Macaca fascicularis: one gene and its partners. The protein of the gene in region 3 binds, or shares a complex with, the protein of the main gene of each other region. Links are inferred from orthologs where the notes say so. Each region holds a gene or a part of one and is shown on either strand. Other genes may lie near its edges.

Region 1 (3,518 bases), on a different chromosome or scaffold from region 3:
AGCCTGGCCAACATGGCAAAACCCTGTCTCTACTAAAAATACAAAAAAAAAAAAAAAAATTAGCTGGGCTTGGTGGTGGGTGCCTATAATCCCAGCTACTGGGGAGGCTGAGGCAGGAGGATCGCTTAAATCCAGGGGGCAGAGGTTACAGTGAGCCGAGATTGTGCCACTTCACTCCAGCCTGGGCGAAAAAGTGAAACTCCGTCTCAGGCAAAAACAAAACAAACAAAAAAAGGAAGTAGAGGTCGTGTGTACAGGAGCCCAGGAGCAGAGGGCTCCCAGAAGAAGCCCCCAGCTCTGTAGGGTGCTGTTTGAAACCCATGGCTATAGGCTGTAGAGAGCACATGGGATGTCTGAGTGTGCAGTGGCACTGTGAGGCTGGGCTCTAGAATGATCCCTCGTCCTGGTTCTGAGGGGCTCCGAAAATCAGAAGCCAGCTCAGGTGGTGGAGAGGCTGTGTGGGGCGGGGAGGAGGGAGATCCTCCCTGCCGCCCCGCACCCCCAGCTGCCTTCCACCCGCAGCCCTGGTGGGAAGGACAGGGGAACACTGTCCCCTGAGTGCACAGCTGAGGACACTGAAGCTCGGGGGGCAGTGACAGACGAGGGAGAGGAGGAGCTGGGTTTGAGCTGGTAAGCGACGGGTCCCTCCCTGCAGACCCTGCCCGTGGGCAGCGTGGTGTTCTCCGTGCTGGCCGTGGATAAAGACATGGGACCTGCCGGCATGGTCGTGTACTCCATAGAGAAGGTGAGTATGAAGGGGGCCCTGACCGCCTTCGTGACCGCCAGGGGGCAGCATATCCACAGACAACCCACGGGGCCCGAGCGTTGGGGTGGGGACGTTGGTCGTGCCTTGGCCCAGCCCTGGCCCCCAAACCTTCCTCTGGCCACCAGCCCCCCTCCCCGGAAACCTCACTTTGCCCACTTGCCTAAAGAGGGTGCCTGCTGCAGACCAGACCCTTCTTCCCGCCCGCCTGCTCCCAGGTCTTGTCCAGGTTCCACAGACAGTAAGGGGCGTGTGAACCCATTTCTCATGGAAACAGAGTTGCTGTTGATAGCGCCATTTACCGAGCACCAACCGCGTGCCTGGCACATACCATGCAGTCACCCCTTGGTATCTGTGGGGAATTGGCTCCAGGATCCCTGAGGACACCAAAATCCCTGGCTGCTCAAGTCCCTGGACATGCAATGGGGGTAGTATTTGCATGTAACCTAGACACATCCTCCTGTGTACTTTAAATCACCTCTAGGTTACCTCTAATACCAATGCAATGCAAATACTATGTAAATATAGCGTATTATGTATGCTATATTGTTTAGGGAATCATGGCAAGGGAAAAAGTTTGTACATCTTCAGTACAGACACAACCATTGTGAGCATAGCTACAGTTTTGATCTGTGGCTGGTCAAATGTGTGGATGTGGAACCCACAGAGATGGAAGGCTGACTGCATCTTATTGGATCCTCCTTTCAACCCACTGAGGGTTGTCACCAGCCCCATTTCCCAGAGCTGGAGACTGAGGCTCAGAGAGGTCATACGACCTGGTGCCAGTGGCGTGACTGGTCAGTGGTAGAGCTGGGGCCTTCCCTGTGTTGCTGAGTGGGATCCTCGGGGCAGGGCTGTCCCTAGGGAGACTGACCCAAGTCTGCTCTGCCCCAGGTCATCCCTAGCACTGGGGACAGCGAGCATCTCTTCCGGATCCTGGCCAATGGCTCCATCATCCTCAGTGGCAGCCTCAGCTACAACAACAAGAGCGCTTTCTACCAGCTGGAGCTGAAGGCCTGTGTGAGTGGGGGTGCCAGAGGGGGGGCCTAGGACCCACGGCGCTGGCTCACGGGCGGCCATCTCCCCGCAGGACTTGGGCGGCATGTTCAACAACAGCTTCACCATCCAGTGCTCCCTGCCTGCCTTCCTGTCCATCTCCGTGGTGGACCAGCCTGACCTTGACCCCCAGTTTGTCAGGGAGTTTTACTCGGCCTCTGTGGCTGAGGACGCAGCCAAGGTGCCCAGGGGACCTGTGGGGTATGAGTGGAAGCGGGAGGCGGGGGAAGTTTGAGGAGCACTGACCAGGCACCATTCCAGGGAACCTCGGTGCTGAAAGTGGAGGCTGTGGATGGCGACAAAGGCATCAATGACCCTGTGATCTACAGCATCTCCAGTGAGAATGGGGTGTCCCCAGGCCAGGGCTGGGCCGGGGCCGGGGTCAGTGCTCCGTCAGAGCCACTGGAGCAGCTGTTCCAGCTGTTCCACCTGTCTCCTTGCTTGCCAGACTCCACGTGGCCCGGCTGGTTTGACATCGGGGCAGATGGGGTGATCAGGGTCAACGGCTCCCTGGACCGTGAGCAACTGCTGGAGGAGGATGAGGAGGTGCAGCTGCAGGTCACGGTGAGCAAAGGCCCCACCACCCCTGTCAGAATCCTGCTCTCTAACCTCTGGCTTTTGGTCTCTCTGAGCACTGGCTCTCTGACCTCTGACCTCTGACCTCTGCTCTGTGCCTCAGGCCACCGAGACACACCTCAACATCTACGGGCAGGAGGCCAAGGTGAGCATCTGGGTGACAGTGAGAGTGTTGGACGTCAATGACCACAAACCTGAGTTTTACAACTGCAGCCTCCCAGCCTGCACCTTCACCCCCGAAGAGGCCCAAGTGAACTTCACTGGCTACGTGGACGAGCATGCCTCCCCCCGCATCCCCATCGATGACCTCACCATGGTGGTCTACGACCCGGACAAGGCAAGCGTGGTGGTGCGGGTGTGGGCGGGGGTGGCATGGTGGCCTACGACCCGGACAAGGCAGGTGTGGTGGCGTGGGTGTGGGCGGGGGTGGCAAGGTGGCCTACGACCCGGACAAGGCAGGTGTGGTGGCGTGGGTGTGGGCAGGGGTGGCTGGGGGAGGCCAGTGGAAGCCCGGATTGAGTGACAGTGCCATGTGGTGCTGGGTGGTGGTGCTGGTGGTGCAGGGCGTGGTGACGGAAAATGGGGGTGCTGTGTGCTCTCTGGAAACCTTCGTCGGTAAGCAATGTCATCCTCTGGGCAATCCATGTGGGGCTGAATAGGAGGCCGTGCTGAGTGGAGGCTGATGTTGAACGTCAGATGATGCTGAGTAGAACGTCATTGTCCGTGGTGATGGGTGGCTGACAAGGTCTCCTGGCATTGGGTGGCCATGATTTGGGTAGTCATGGGAACTGGAGGAGGCTGAGCAGTGTTGGGACAAGTGGTTTGAGGGTGTGAGGTGGGAGGGTGTTTTTTTTTTTTTTTGAGATGGAGTTTCACTCTGTTGCTTAGGCTGGAGTGCAATGGCCCAATCTTGGCTCACTGCAGCCTCTGCCTTCCAGGTTCAAGTGATTCTCCTGCCTCAGCCTCCCGAATAGCTGTGATTACAGGCGTGCACCACCTCACCCAGCTAATTTTTCTGTTTTTAGTAGAGATGGAGTTTCACCCTGTTGGCCAGGCTGGTCTCGAACTCCTGGCCTCAAGTGATCCACCCACCTTAGCCTCCCAAAGTGCTGGGATTACAGGC
Region 2 (3,033 bases), on a different chromosome or scaffold from region 3:
GCCTCTGGAGTAGCTGGGATTACAGACACATGCCACCAGGCCCGGCTAATTTTTGTATTTTTAGTAGAGATAGGTTTCCGCCATTTTGGCCAGGCTGGTCTTGAACTCCTGACCTCAAGTGATCTGCCTGCCTGGGCCTCCCAAAGTGCTGGAATTACAGGAGTGAGCCAAGTGTTGTCAGTTTCTATCATGGAACCTACAGGTATTCGGATATGCAGCAATGGTGACAGACAACAGTAAATAAACCATGTGTACATAATAAGTATGAAAATGTGAAATTTCCTTTTACGATCAAATCTTCCCTCCAAAGAACTTAGTTTTTTTTTTTTTTTTTCCTTAAGTTTCAGTAGGTGTTTACCTTTAAAAAACTCATCAGTTGCAGTTGGCCAGACTTTTTTTCTGTGTTTTTCTTGGTCTCCTCCCCAACCCCTCTTACTTAGGACTGTATTATTCTGCTAGGAATGCCGTAACAAAATGCCACAGACTGGGTGGCTTCAACAACAGAAGTTTATCAACAGAAGTTTATTTTTTCACACCTTTGGAGGCTGGAAGTCCAAGATCAAGGTGTTGGCAGGGTTAGTTTCTCCTGAGGCCCCTCTCCTCAGCTTGCAGACGGCTGCCTTCTCACTGCATTCTCACGTGGCCTCACTGTGTCCCTTCTACCTACGTGTCTCTTCCTCTTCTTAGGACACCAGTCCTAGGCTGGATGCCGTGGCTCACGCCTGTAATCCCAGCGCTCTGAGAGGCCAAGGCAGGTGGATCACCCGAGGTCAGGAGTTCAAGACCAGCCTGGCCAACATGGTGAAACCCTGTCTCTACTAAAAATACAAAAAATTAGCCAGGCGTGGTGGTACATACCTGTAATCCCAGCTACTCAGGAGGCTAAGGCATGAAAATTGCTTGAACCTGGGAGGCAGAGGTTGTAGTGAGCTGAGATCATGCCACTGTACTCCAGCATGGGTGACAGAGCAAGGCTCCATCTCAAAAAAAAAAAAAAAAAGGAAAAAAGGAGGCTAGTCCTATAGGATTAGGGTCCCATTCTTATGACTTCATTTAACCTTAATCACTTCTTTAAAGGCCTTATTTCCAAATACAGTCACATTAGGGGTTAGAGTGCCAACATATGAATTTGACACAAGTCAGTCAACAACAAGTACCATCTGTATTCTATTTCTTTCTTCACTCTCCCCACTGCCACTCTGTCTCTATTCTCAGGCAGGAGTATTATAGATGCATTTCCATTACTTGTAAACATGTACACATTTGTTAAAGGGTTAGATGCATTTAAGTTGGGCATCAAGCCTCAGGCCAGGAAAGAACTTTAGTCTCTACCACCAGGCAAAGTCATAGAGCTCAGGAGAGAAAAAGAATTAGAATTCCCAGGTTATATGGATCAGAAAGCAAGCAGCAGGATAATGACATGAGATTATAATTTTAAATCCAGAGATAGAAAAGTAAAGGAAGTTTCTTTCATTTTCCTGTCACGCATATGACCCTTTCTTTATTCAAAAGTATCAAAAAGATAGGCTGGGTACAGTGGTTCACACCTGCAATCCCAATGCTTTAGGAGGCTGAGGTGGGAGGACTGCTTGAGGTCAGGAGTTTGAGACCAGGCTGGGCAACGTGGTAAGACCCCACCTCTACTGAAACATACAAAATAAGCCAGGTGTGGGTGTGTGCACCTGTAGTCCCAGCTACTTGAAAGGCTGAGGTGGGAGGAGATCACTTGAGCCCAGGAGGTTGAGAATACAGTGGACTATGATCATACCACTGCAACCCAGCCTGGGTAAGAGAGTGAGACCCTCATCTCCAAAAAAAAAAAAAAATACACACACACACACACACACACACACACACACACACACACACATATATAAGATAACTGAAGAGAAATGCCATTTTCTTGTTATGAAGTCTCCTCAAGTTTCTCATGGAGATTTATTTGGATGGGCCTCCCAGAGTAAAGTTTGGGCCTCTCTCTCAAGTAGGCATCTCCAATGCCCTAGAATCCATTCCCAGTGATCTGGCATTGGGTAAAGAGGGGGTGCTGCCTGGAGTGCTGCCAGCAGACCACAGCATCACCCCAATGCTCCAGGCCAAAACCCTCCATCACAGGCTGGTGTCGACCAGCTGCCCAGGCTGTTGTAGCACCTGCTTCCTCCTGTTTATAGCATTCAGAACTTTCTTCCTGGGACCCAGCTGCATTTGTATGCTCTGAAGGTCCTCATCAGAGCAGAGCAGCAGAGCTTCTAGATCAATCTGCTCTCTCTTAAAGATAGGCAGGAATTCTTCCAGGTGCTGAGACAGCAAGAACACTTCCAGGGGCGTGGCATCGACCACATCTTCCTCCCACTCCACTTCATCCTCACCCCATGGTAGATCATCTTTGAGGCTGTTTTCCTCTTCCTCTTCATCAGCTATACCCTCATCAGTCTCTGATGTTCCTTGTGTTTGAAACAATTCACTGGGCAGTTTAAAACCCAACTCCCTCTTGCTATCTGAGATGTCTTCAGGACTCAATATCCTGTTCCTTCTAAAAACAATACTTCCTAGACCTGGACGATTGAGAATGGATTCATGGCGCACACTGCTGTCCTCCTCTGCTGACAACTGGAGCTTCTCTTTGAAGTCCCCTGAGAATGAGTCTTCCTCTTCCTCTCTGAACACTTCCATCACGTTCCTCTGCCCACTTCTGCCTTCCTTCCCCACCTGTTCTGCTGTATCGTTGTTCTTTTTGAACTTGATCTTGAAAGTATCTTTAATGCCCTTAGATAGTGACCCGAATGTGCCAGGAGCAGAAGCATTTGAAGGGAATGACCTGGAGAAGGTACCCTTGGAAGAAGAGACAGTCCCAGACTCCTCCTTGCTGTAGGTGCGGGCCATCTTATTTTGGTGCTTCTCCTGGAGCCTCTCACACTCTTTGATCTGCCTCCTGGCATTCTTCTGAGCCTGCTCCTTCAGCCTGGTGACCTTCTTGGGGTTCATGATGTTCTGCGCAGTGGCAGCCTTGTCCAGGAGAGCAACACATTCATT
Region 3 (3,518 bases):
AATAGCTAACATTCACTGATCACTTACAGTGTGCTTGGCACAGTTCTAGTATACATATTAACTACTTTAACCCACACAACAACCTTGGAAGAAAGGCTTTATTATCCCCATCTTATAGGTAAGGAAACTGAAGCACAGAGACATGAAGTAACTTGTCCAAAGAAGAGGTTAAGGGTTCCTGCTTTGGGATGAGACCACCTAGGTTTGAATTCCAGTCCTACCATGCTAGGTACATGATTTCAGAAAAATCATATACTTTCTCTGGGTCTCAGTTTCCTCATATGTAAAGTGGGGATAATGGTGGCACTTAATCCTCAGCGTTCTTGTGAAGTGTAAAGGGCGTGGAACAATGTCCGATGCAAGTGGACCCTGAAGGTCCGCTCTTTGATTATCATTATGACATTCCCAAGCTCACGACCAACAACCATCAGAGCTATGGAAGGCTGCAGAAGGGTCAAATGTCCCCACTCTGTGAAGCCTTCTCTGAAGGGTGGGTAGGGCTCCTCCTGATCAGTGACCGCCGAAAGAGGGCCATGTGGAAAGGCACCTGCCCCTGTCACCGCGGGATCACAGTCTGACCCAGTTTCCAGTGGGCCCCCACTGGGGCCGGCCCAGCGTCACTCACCTCCAATCCCACCTCAGCAGACAGGGAGCCAGGTTTCACGTGGCTGATGAAGATGCCAGGCTTCTGGATGGGGCCGCTGGAAATGCTGTGGGAGGTGGGAAATGTGTGCTTAGGATACAGGTCACTCATGAACTCAGGACTGAAGGCCCTCGGCTGCCTACCTCTTCAGCCTCTGTCTCCCCGTCCAGCCTGATTTCTACTGCTACCCTGGGCAACAGCCACAGAAAACTCCTTGTAATTCTTCCTACCCAATCTCTCACCTAATATACCTCATATGTTGTTTCTTTTTCCTTTCTAACGCTTTCCTGTCCATTCCTTAAGAACCAAATGCTATCCCTTCTATAAGGTTTTCAGCAGATCCTCTTTTTTAAAAAATTTATTTTTTAGAGACAGGGTCTTGCTCTGTCACCCAGGTTGGAGTGCAGTGGTGTGATCATAGCTCTCCACAGCCTCCAACTCCTGGGCTCAAGCAATCCTCCCACCTCAACCTCTTGACTAGCTACGACTACAGGTGCACACCACCATGCCTGGCTCAGATCCCTTATTCTATCCCAAGACCAAGCTATTTGCTCGGTTCTCAGTGCTCCTATGACATTTACGACAGGAATGGCACATGTACTGTTATTATTCCTTCCTAGATTGGTGGCAGAAATCACTCACTGATCACAGCACTCTTTCCCTCAAGCCTGGATATAGCTTTAGAATCCTTTTCAAAGCAGCACTCCAGGGAGCTCCTACTAATTGATTAGAGATGGCACCTATTTGCCATCCCGGACACAGAATGTAGTTCCATTTGAGTCCCTATCACCCTATATTATAACTGTTTATGTGGTTGGCTTCTAGATTAGGCTCTTGTCTCCCAGAAGGGAGGGACTCTTTATCACTTATGCTTGGCACAAAACATGGAATAAATGTGAATGAAGGGAAAGAAGAGGAATAACTCAAATCATAACAGCTAGTATTTACCAACTGCTTACTGTTTAGCAGGTACTAAGCTTGGTACTTTACTTTCTCCACAATCACCCTGTGATGTGGGAATTATTATCATCAATTTATAGAGGGAGAAACTGAGGCTCCAAGTGGTTAAGTAACTGGCCCAAGGTTCCAGAGCTCTTAAGTAGGAAAGCAGGGCTGGAACTGGGATCTGAGTAACGGTGGAACCTGCACGCTTGAGCCCCGTGTGGCCCAGTATCTGTTTGGATTCCCCGTCTGCCTCTTAACGAAGCCGACAAGGTAATAAGTGATAAGAGAACTGTGACAGAGATGACCAGCTGAACAGGCTCCTTTTGCAGTGACTCAAGGACCTACAAGGTAACATGGTTCTGCCTCTAGGCCTCAATTTCTTTATCCGTAAACTGGGATCTATTAGAGATGCCCCTCGGGCCCTACAGGCCTGTCGTGAAATTCAGAGGGGAAATCAGGCACCAGGAAGTGTCATCACCAAGGCTGGGCGCGGTGCTTCATGCCTCTAATCCCAGCACTCCGGGAGGCTGAGGTGGGAGGATCATTTGAGCCCAGGAATTTGAGACCAGCCTTGGCAACATAACAAAACTCCTTCTCTACAAAAAAATTAAAAGTTAGCTGGGTGTCATGGTGTGTTTCTGTAGACCCAGCTACTCAGGAGGCTGAGGTGGGAGGATTGCTTGAGCTGGGGAGGTCGAGGCTACAGTGAGCTATGATCACGCCATTGCACTCCAGCCCAGGTGACAGAGCCAGACCCTGTCTCTAACAAAAAAATACCATCACCCATGGACAAGTCACACCCCTGGTGGGCAAGGTTTCCTCAGAAGCAGCAGTGAGGAAGGGGAGGGTAATAGGGGCCTGCTGGGGTGCACTGGCCACGAATGACCCCGGGGCATGCCCACCACCCACCTGCAGCCAAGGCCCCGGGAGCCCACCAGGCTGATGAAGACCTTCTTCTCCTTGTTTTCCCGATTTCCAGGGGAGCCCAGGCTGCCTCGCCCCCCCTGAAAGGGAGATAGAAGCAGAATCTCTGAGTGTCCACATGCGTGCAAGCGGCCTCTTGAGCTCGTGGGACCTGCAGGGCGAGCACTGCTGAACTCACACCAGCCAGATCATCATTCTGTCCCTGGGGATGTGTCTGCACCAGCCTGGCCTGGCTGAGGGCCACTGCCCCACAGCAGTGTGCTGGCTGCCCTGGGGGCCTGTGTGAAGTCCCTGAGAGTGCATCTCTAGAGCAAGCCCTCCCTTTAGGACTGGCCGCCCATCCTTGAAGATGACCCCACCCAAACCCCATCACAGGAGGTCTGGCCCTTACCCCAGATTCTGACACAAACTGATCCACATACTGCCACTTGAGGGGCTCATCAGGAGAGCTGATGGGAAGGGAAAATAGATGGAAGGGTGGTTAGCGAGAGACGTTTGAGGAACCAGGCCCCAAATCCAGATCCACCATGTCTACAACCTCCAGCCTCCACTGGCCCAGGAGCAGGGCTGGCATGGTGAGTGCTGGACCCCAGGGCTGTACCAGGACCCCGGGCCCACAGGGAAGAGTCGGCCTGCAGAGGAGGGGCCTCTCACCTCTTCACGGGGATCAGGCCAATGTCTGTGGGAGAAAGGCACAGGGGTTAGGACAGCTCCTCCACCCTCCCTCCCTCCCACCATCATGGAGCCCTGTCCTGCTCTAGTCTCACTCACGTCTCACTTTGATGGACACAGTTTTCTTGGTTCGGATGAGGTTGATGACCTCCTCATGGGTACAGGAGGAGATGGAATATCCATTGATCCGGACGATCTCGTCCCCTACCTTGACCACAGAGAGAGGCAGGGAGCACTGGCTGGAGGGAGCATCAGGCAGTGGGGCAGACTCACCACCAGATGCTCCCAGACTGCTATCCGGAAAAGGGAAGGGTGGCCATGCCATCCCCTGGAA
Region 4 (2,686 bases), about 48 Mb from region 3:
CTGGGAGGCAGATGTTGCAGTGAGCCAAGATCACGCCACTGCACTCCAGCCTGGGTGACAGAATGAGACTCTGTATCCAAAAAGAAAACAAAGAAAAGAACTGGATTGTCTTTCCTCGCTTGAGATTCTGCTGGTTGCATCCCCAAGTACCTGCATTATTTTTCTGTGGCGCACCTGCCACCTCCTGGCTTTATAAAGTCCTTTTTGTCTGTTGTTGTAAGTCCTGCCAGGACAGGCACCACCGGGCAGAGATTTGTCTCTTGTGATCTCTGCATCCCAGCACCTAGAGCTGTGCAGCCCCCCTGCAGCCCCCCAACACCACTGAGCGAGTGGACGGATAGCTGTCGAGGGGTGCACCTCACTCACGATGGGGAAGGATAGCGTCGAGGGGTACACCTCACTCATGATGGGGAGCGGCTGTGGGAGAGGCTGACGGCCACATCCTGCAGGTGACCCAGCTGAGGGTGTTCGTGTCAGTGCTGGACGTCAATGACAACGCCCCCGAATTCCCCTTTACAACCAAGGAGATAAGGGTGGAAGAGGTGAGGCCAGCGAAGCTGCCAGGGCTGGGCAGGGGGTGCGGGAGCCCAGGGTGAGGGCAAGGGGCGAGTGGTGGCCGGGGGCTCAACCACAGCGGGGGTCCACAGGGGCCAAGAGTGTGGCCAGACCAAGCCCCTCTCCCTCCCTAGGACACTAAAGTAAACTCCACCGTCATCCCTGAGACAGAACTGCAGGCCAAGGACAAAGACAAGGATGACCTTCTGTTCTACACCCTCCAGGAAGCGACCGCAGTCAGTGCCGCCTGCCCTGCCCCAGCGTGAGCCCCTCGCCACTGACACCCGCAGCCGCCCTCGCCCTCCCAGGCTCTTAGGCTGTGTCCTCCCTGATCCTCCCCAGGGTGCCAGTGACTACTTCTCCCTGGTGGGTGTAAACTATCCCGCCCTGAGGCTGGACCGGCCCCTGGACTTCTACGAGCGGCCCAACATGGCCTTCCGGCTGCTGGTGCGGGTGAGCGGCTCACCCCAGCCCTGAGTCCCACATGCTTGAGGTCCCCCTGGCCCCAGCTGCTCCCAGGCCTGATCTGGCTGTTGCAGGACACTCCGGAGGAGAATGTGGAGCCCAGCCACACGGCCACCGCCACGCTGGTGCTGAACGTGGTGCCTGCCGACCTGCGGCCCCCCTGGTTCCTGCCCTGCACCTTCTCAGACGGCTACGTCTGCATCCAAGCTCAGTACCACGGGGCTGTCCCCACGGGGCACACACTGGTAATGGGGAGGGAGGGGCAGTGCCCGGGGCGGGGCCTTCTAGGCAGGTTGGAGGCAGGGACGGCCAGGATCAGAAGAAGGGCAGGGTCAGGGTCAGCGGGTGGGGCCAAGTTTGGTTGTGACTTTGAAACAAATACAGACTCTCCTTATAAACCAATCTTTCCCATCTTGAGGGAGCAAACCCTGAACACACAGAGAGGAGTGTGGGCCCCAGAGCCAGGCGGTCTCAGGGGCCTGGGGAGGTGGGCTGGGGCCCTGGAGTTCTTAAGGGATGGTGAGATCTCTGCCCTGCTCACAGTCACCACTAGGCCCACACAGGCTGTCTGCAAACCTTCACAGCACCAAGGCACCCGGGGCCACCAAACAGCACATGAGAGGCAGAAACGCAGACCCCGGGAACCCCCCGCTTCCTAAATGTCTGCTTAGCCGTCAAGACAAGCATCGTGCAAATGGCACTCAGTATCTTTGGGCAACTTATTCGTTAGTGAGGGACCCACAGGGGTGTGACTCACTGTGATACTGGGACAAGGGACAGTCCTAGACAGGCAGGGATGCCCGGCCACCAGCGGGACTGGGCCCCTCCTCAGCCAGCCCTGCCCTGGCTGACCTTGATGGGGAGCCAGAGGGGCCAGGTTGGGGCCATTCACCCCAGCCTCACGACGTGCCCTCCTCTCCACCATCCTTGAAGCCATCCCCCCTCGTCCTGCGTCCCGGACCCATCTACGCCGAGGATGGAGACCGCGGCATCAACCAAGCCATCATCTACAGCATCTTCAGTGGTGAGTGGGGCCCAGCCCTCAACAATGCCCCGGACCCCTCTCTGTCCCTGTCTCTGTCCCCACCTTGGGCTGGGGAAGCCCCAGGGGCACCTGCCAGCAAGGCAGAGCTGGCTGGGTCCCTGGGCCTCAGGAGGCCGGGACTGAGCACTTCCATCGTCCTCCCAGGAAATGTGAACAGTACATTTGTCATCCACCGAGACTCCGGCAACCTCACCATGGCCAGGAGTGTCCCCAGAGCCATGACCTTTCTTCTGCTGGTGAAGGTGAGGTAGGGACCTGCACGGGGGGCAGGGCAGTGGGGGCAGGGTGGAAGGTAGGGCGGGGGTCAGGGCGGGGGGGCAGGGCCCCTGCCAAGTCTGCATCTATTCTTCCTGAGCCCCAGGCTTCAGCACCAGCTCCACCGTCAACCCCACGAGTCACGGCTGCCTCCCCCGCCTCCAGGGCCAGCAGGCCGACCTTGCCCGCTACTCAGTGACCCAGGTCACCGTGGAGGCTGTGGCTGCAGCCGGGAGCCCGCCCCGCTTCCCCCAGAGCCTGTACCGTGGCACCGTGGCACTTGGCGCTGGAGCAGGTGTTGTGGTCAAGGATGCAGCTGCCCCCTCTCAGCCTCTGAGGGTCCAGGCTCGGGATCCGGAGTTCTCG
Region 5 (3,518 bases), about 28 Mb from region 3:
TCCTGCAGCCCCCACTCTCAGGGCCTGGGTGGAGGAGAAGCGGAAGGGGACCTTTGGGATTCAGTGACTCAGAGTTACGGGACACCATCTGACATGCAACATGACCCAGGTGAAACTCAAGCCTGCAGACAGAGTCCCTGGTCCCCACCCTGGGGGCTCTGGGCAGGTTAGCAGGCCTGTCTGTGCTGCCAGCCAGCCTGTGCCTCCCCTTCTGGGGCTGCACCCTCACAGTAGCTTCCTAGAGGGTCCTAGAACTGGAGCCTCTGGAGCGATATTGGAAGCACTTCAGTTCTACAGCCCAGGGGCCAAAAATGTGATTAGCAGAACCTGATCCCTAAAGTCGCCACTGAGATAACGCTGACAGGGGAGACTCACGCACAGAAGACAGAAGTCCTGGGTTCTACTGAGATAACGCTGACAGGGGAGACTCACGCATAGAAGACAGAAGTCCTGGGTTCTACTGAGATAACGCTGACAGGGGAGACTCACGCATAGAAGACAGAAGTCCTGGGTTCTACTGAGATAATGCTGACAGGGGAGACTCACGCACAGAAGACAGAAGTCCTGGGTTCTAATCCCAGCACCACCACTTACTAGCTGTGTGACTGGCTGCGTGGTCCCTCTATGTGCCTCAGTTTCCTCATGGGGTAACAGTTCTTTCCCTCCCTGCCTTCCACAGATGCCATGAGAGTCCAAAGACAGAACTTGGGTTAAAGGGCCTTGTAAACACTGAGGGGATGCACCTGAGGGCTGCAGGAATATGTGGGATGCTCCTGCCCACTCCATGTCAATCCTGGCCTCGAGGATCCTGAGCCCTCCTCTCATCCCCAGCAGAGCCTTGGTTTCAAGTCCCTGCACCCTCTTTCTCCTGACTCTTCTCCCTCAGACCAGGAGGCTAAGACAGGTACTCAGTCCAGTTCTATGTCCCCAGCCCCTGGCACACCATGGGGCACAGCCCACATTATGGCAGAGCTGAATCTCCCTGGGTTCTTCATATCCCTGCTAAGCTGCACTTGTGTGCTCTGCACCCCATCTGCATACCCCCCGTGACACACACATGTGCACACATGCTCAGAGGCCCCAGAGCTTCCCCTGCGGGCCCGCATGTGAACCAGCCTCCTTCTCCAGGGCAGGCCCCTGACTTCAGACCTCTCCGAGGCCCCACTATCACTACCTAGAAAACTTACACTTCTGGGGTCCCTTTCCTTTTGGGCCACAGATAAAGGGTTAATCTGTGAGACCAATTTCCGGGACAGTGTCAAGGTGGACAGTGGATTCATGTGATGTCAGTAACCCAATACAGTAAGGCTGTGGGCGTTCATTTAACTTTCAGACTAGCACTAACTTCACTGAGGTGTTCTACACGTGTGATCTCACGTATGGGTCAACAGCCCTCTGAGATACTTATTATTATCCTCATTTTACAAAGAGGAAACTGAGGCTCAGGAGGGAAGGAGACTTGGCCAAGTCTGCACAGCTAACAAGTGGATGAGATGGGATTTGAATGCAGTCAGTCTGCCCCCAAAGCACCTCCGTGTCTGAGGAGCTTCTAGCCTGCTCCCCCAGCACTCAAACCCCACCATACACACACACATCTCTAACACTAGGCAGAGTGAACTGAAGTGCTTGTGGAAACAGAACAAGTAGCCTGAGGCAGGCAGGGGGTTCCCTCTTGCTGGGGTGCTGGGGAAGGCTCATGGAAGGAGGCATCTGACAGGCAGAAGTGGGGGCACGGGCACAGCCTCCATCTCCTTTAGATCATCTCCCTGCCTTGAGGCAGCTGTCAGCCCAGATCTTCCCCCAAGGCATGGGGCAAGAGGAGGGAGGGGACTACTCACATTGCCTTCATCGTCCACCACCTGGATCTGCCCAGAGTCGCAGAGCTTCACCACTGCCCCGATGGGCACATCAAACTCCTGCCCCGATCTCAGGTCCATCCACACATAGTCCCCCTATGGGCGAGAGAGAGTCCCAGGCCAGGTGAGCAGGGAGCCCCCTTCCAGGCAGCCCTGCATCCCTCTGCTACCACCAGAGGCTCTGGGCCAACCACAGAAGGGGGAAGAGAAGGGGACTCACACTTACTAGAAACCTTCTGGAGCAGGGCAGGCCCTGGGCTGGCCATTTATGCAATGTCATCAGTCCCTCCTCTAGAGCAGCCATGTTCCCATTTTACAGAAGAGTTAGCAGAGGCTCAGAGGGAGCCAAAGCCTCTTGAAGCCCAGCTCTCCCCATGGATCTACACTTTACATGTGTATGACAGATTCACTGGAGTCTAGACAGAAACACAAGACCACTCAAACTACTTCCTCTCTAACATGAGGTGACACCAGAGGACACCCAGACCGTGGGTGAGCTGCATCCTTCTTTACCTCCAGGGCCGATTTTCATCATCATCATGACAGGTTCCTCACAGGGACACCACTCCTTGCTGGGCCCTAGATAAGGGTTCAGCCACATTGTCTTCTGGCATGTGGGGAGCGCCCTGACCTCGCAGGAGGATGTCGTTTTGTGTTTCTGTGGCATCTGGCCCAGGGCCTGGGTCTCACTACTCACTCAGTAAGGGATCGTGAGAGTCAAACGTAAAATCCCAAGTCAGAGAAATGGACTGAGAACAACCACATTCAGCACTGATGGATTCAACAGACATGTATTGATTACCTACTGAGTACAAAACACTGATTAATCTAAATGCTGGGGGTTGAGCAGTGATTATGGAGTCTACATTCAAGTTAGAGGTGGTGACAAACAACTGAGCAAATAGATCAGCATGATCACTTTGGATACTGGGGTGAGTGCTGTCAAGGGAATAAACAAGCCAGTGGTAGAGAATGACAGGGCCAACCAACCTAGACCCAGTAGCCAATGGAGCTGCTCCGTGGAGGGAATCGCTGAACTGACACCTGAAGGGTGACAAGCAGTCAGCCAAGGGAAAAGCAGGGGACAGTAATCCCAGCATAGGAAATAACATGTGCAAAGGCCCTGTGGCAGGAAGGAACAGCCAGGAGGCAGGACCTAATGAGCAAAAGGGAGCTCAGAGAAGTAGACAGGGTCCAGGATACATAAGCCCTTTGTTGGCCTTGGGATACAAGCTTAGATTTTATTCTAATCCTAATAAAAGTATTCTTTTTTGGATGGTACTCAAACTCCCTAGGAGTGTGGAAGAACTCAGACATTCTAATAAGAATATAACTTAATATCAAATTGCAAATAAAAATGTAACAGCTGATAAAACTGATTCACAATGAAGTAAACCCATGGGAATGGTCTGACAGAATCTGTTCTGGGCTAGGAGTCAGAAGACTGGGTTTCAGGCCCTGCCTGGCCTTGGTGAGTCGCTGACCTCTTTCAGCCTCAATTTCCACATTTCTCAGTGAAGGCTGAACTCAGTGAGTCCAAGACCAACTCATTACTGTTTCAGCCTCCTCTTATTCCCATCAGAACCAGCTACAGTCATGCATTGTTTAACACCAGAGATAAGTTCTGTGCGAACATCTTGGAGTCATTGAGTGTACCTCACA

The links.
Region 1: USH1C (region 3) and CDHR2 share a complex: the UniProt entries of both Homo sapiens proteins name them as parts of the IMAC/intermicrovillar adhesion complex. The link is inferred for Macaca fascicularis from reciprocal best matches to the Homo sapiens genes USH1C and CDHR2.
Region 2: USH1C (region 3) and ANKS4B share a complex: the UniProt entries of both Homo sapiens proteins name them as parts of the IMAC/intermicrovillar adhesion complex. The link is inferred for Macaca fascicularis from reciprocal best matches to the Homo sapiens genes USH1C and ANKS4B.
Region 4: USH1C (region 3) and CDHR5 share a complex: the UniProt entries of both Homo sapiens proteins name them as parts of the IMAC/intermicrovillar adhesion complex. The link is inferred for Macaca fascicularis from reciprocal best matches to the Homo sapiens genes USH1C and CDHR5.
Region 5: the proteins of USH1C (region 3) and MYO7A are in contact, whole or in part, in a crystal structure (PDB 5MV9), measured with the Homo sapiens proteins. The link is inferred for Macaca fascicularis from reciprocal best matches to the Homo sapiens genes USH1C and MYO7A. Residues at the interface, in NP_001284693.1 of Homo sapiens: Glu450, Pro456, Ile457, Val461, Val462, Ser463, Tyr466, Glu467, Lys479, Gly480, Pro522, Tyr526, Asp527, Asp528, Glu529, Leu530, Thr531, Phe532, Phe533; in NP_000251.3 of Homo sapiens: Phe1946, Val1953, Ala1976, Lys1995, Lys1996, Trp1998, Gln2017, Pro2020, Lys2021, Arg2024, Tyr2026, Ser2112, Ala2113, Phe2114, Phe2115, Glu2116, Val2117, Lys2118, Ile2128, Ser2161, Gly2163, Asn2164, Thr2165, Tyr2166, His2168, Leu2181, Glu2183, Thr2184, Ser2185, Leu2186.

Annotation. Positions count from the first base shown.
Region 1 is NC_088380.1:183,478,113-183,481,630, forward strand, and holds part of CDHR2 (cadherin-related family member 2), read left to right. Parts: intron 1-655; coding exon 656-745; intron 746-1,657; coding exon 1,658-1,783; intron 1,784-1,853; coding exon 1,854-2,000; intron 2,001-2,080; coding exon 2,081-2,156; intron 2,157-2,267; coding exon 2,268-2,383; intron 2,384-2,498; coding exon 2,499-2,732; intron 2,733-3,518. UniProt on the Homo sapiens protein: Intermicrovillar adhesion molecule that forms, via its extracellular domain, calcium-dependent heterophilic complexes with CDHR5 on adjacent microvilli. Thereby, controls the packing of microvilli at the apical membrane of epithelial cells.
Region 2 is NC_088394.1:20,694,459-20,697,491, reverse strand, and holds the end of ANKS4B (ankyrin repeat and SAM domain-containing protein 4B), read right to left. Parts: coding exon 2,110-3,033; 3' UTR 508-2,109; downstream 1-507. UniProt on the Homo sapiens protein: As part of the intermicrovillar adhesion complex/IMAC plays a role in epithelial brush border differentiation, controlling microvilli organization and length. Plays a role in assembly of the complex.
Region 3 is NC_088388.1:48,256,058-48,259,575, reverse strand, and holds part of USH1C (harmonin), read right to left. Parts: intron 3,393-3,518; coding exon 3,284-3,392; intron 3,192-3,283; coding exon 3,167-3,191; intron 2,962-3,166; coding exon 2,904-2,961; intron 2,593-2,903; coding exon 2,498-2,592; intron 711-2,497; coding exon 626-710; intron 1-625. UniProt on the Homo sapiens protein: Anchoring/scaffolding protein that is a part of the functional network formed by USH1C, USH1G, CDH23 and MYO7A that mediates mechanotransduction in cochlear hair cells. Required for normal development and maintenance of cochlear hair cell bundles.
Region 4 is NC_088388.1:522,042-524,727, reverse strand, and holds part of CDHR5 (cadherin-related family member 5), read left to right. Parts: intron 1-449; coding exon 450-542; intron 543-689; coding exon 690-791; intron 792-897; coding exon 898-1,008; intron 1,009-1,094; coding exon 1,095-1,265; intron 1,266-1,953; coding exon 1,954-2,044; intron 2,045-2,209; coding exon 2,210-2,307; intron 2,308-2,426; exon of another isoform or gene 2,427-2,485; coding exon 2,486-2,686. UniProt on the Homo sapiens protein: Intermicrovillar adhesion molecule that forms, via its extracellular domain, calcium-dependent heterophilic complexes with CDHR2 on adjacent microvilli. Thereby, controls the packing of microvilli at the apical membrane of epithelial cells.
Region 5 is NC_088388.1:76,025,940-76,029,457, reverse strand, and holds part of MYO7A (unconventional myosin-VIIa), read right to left. Parts: intron 1,953-3,518; coding exon 1,839-1,952; intron 1-1,838. UniProt on the Homo sapiens protein: Myosins are actin-based motor molecules with ATPase activity. Unconventional myosins serve in intracellular movements. Their highly divergent tails bind to membranous compartments, which are then moved relative to actin filaments.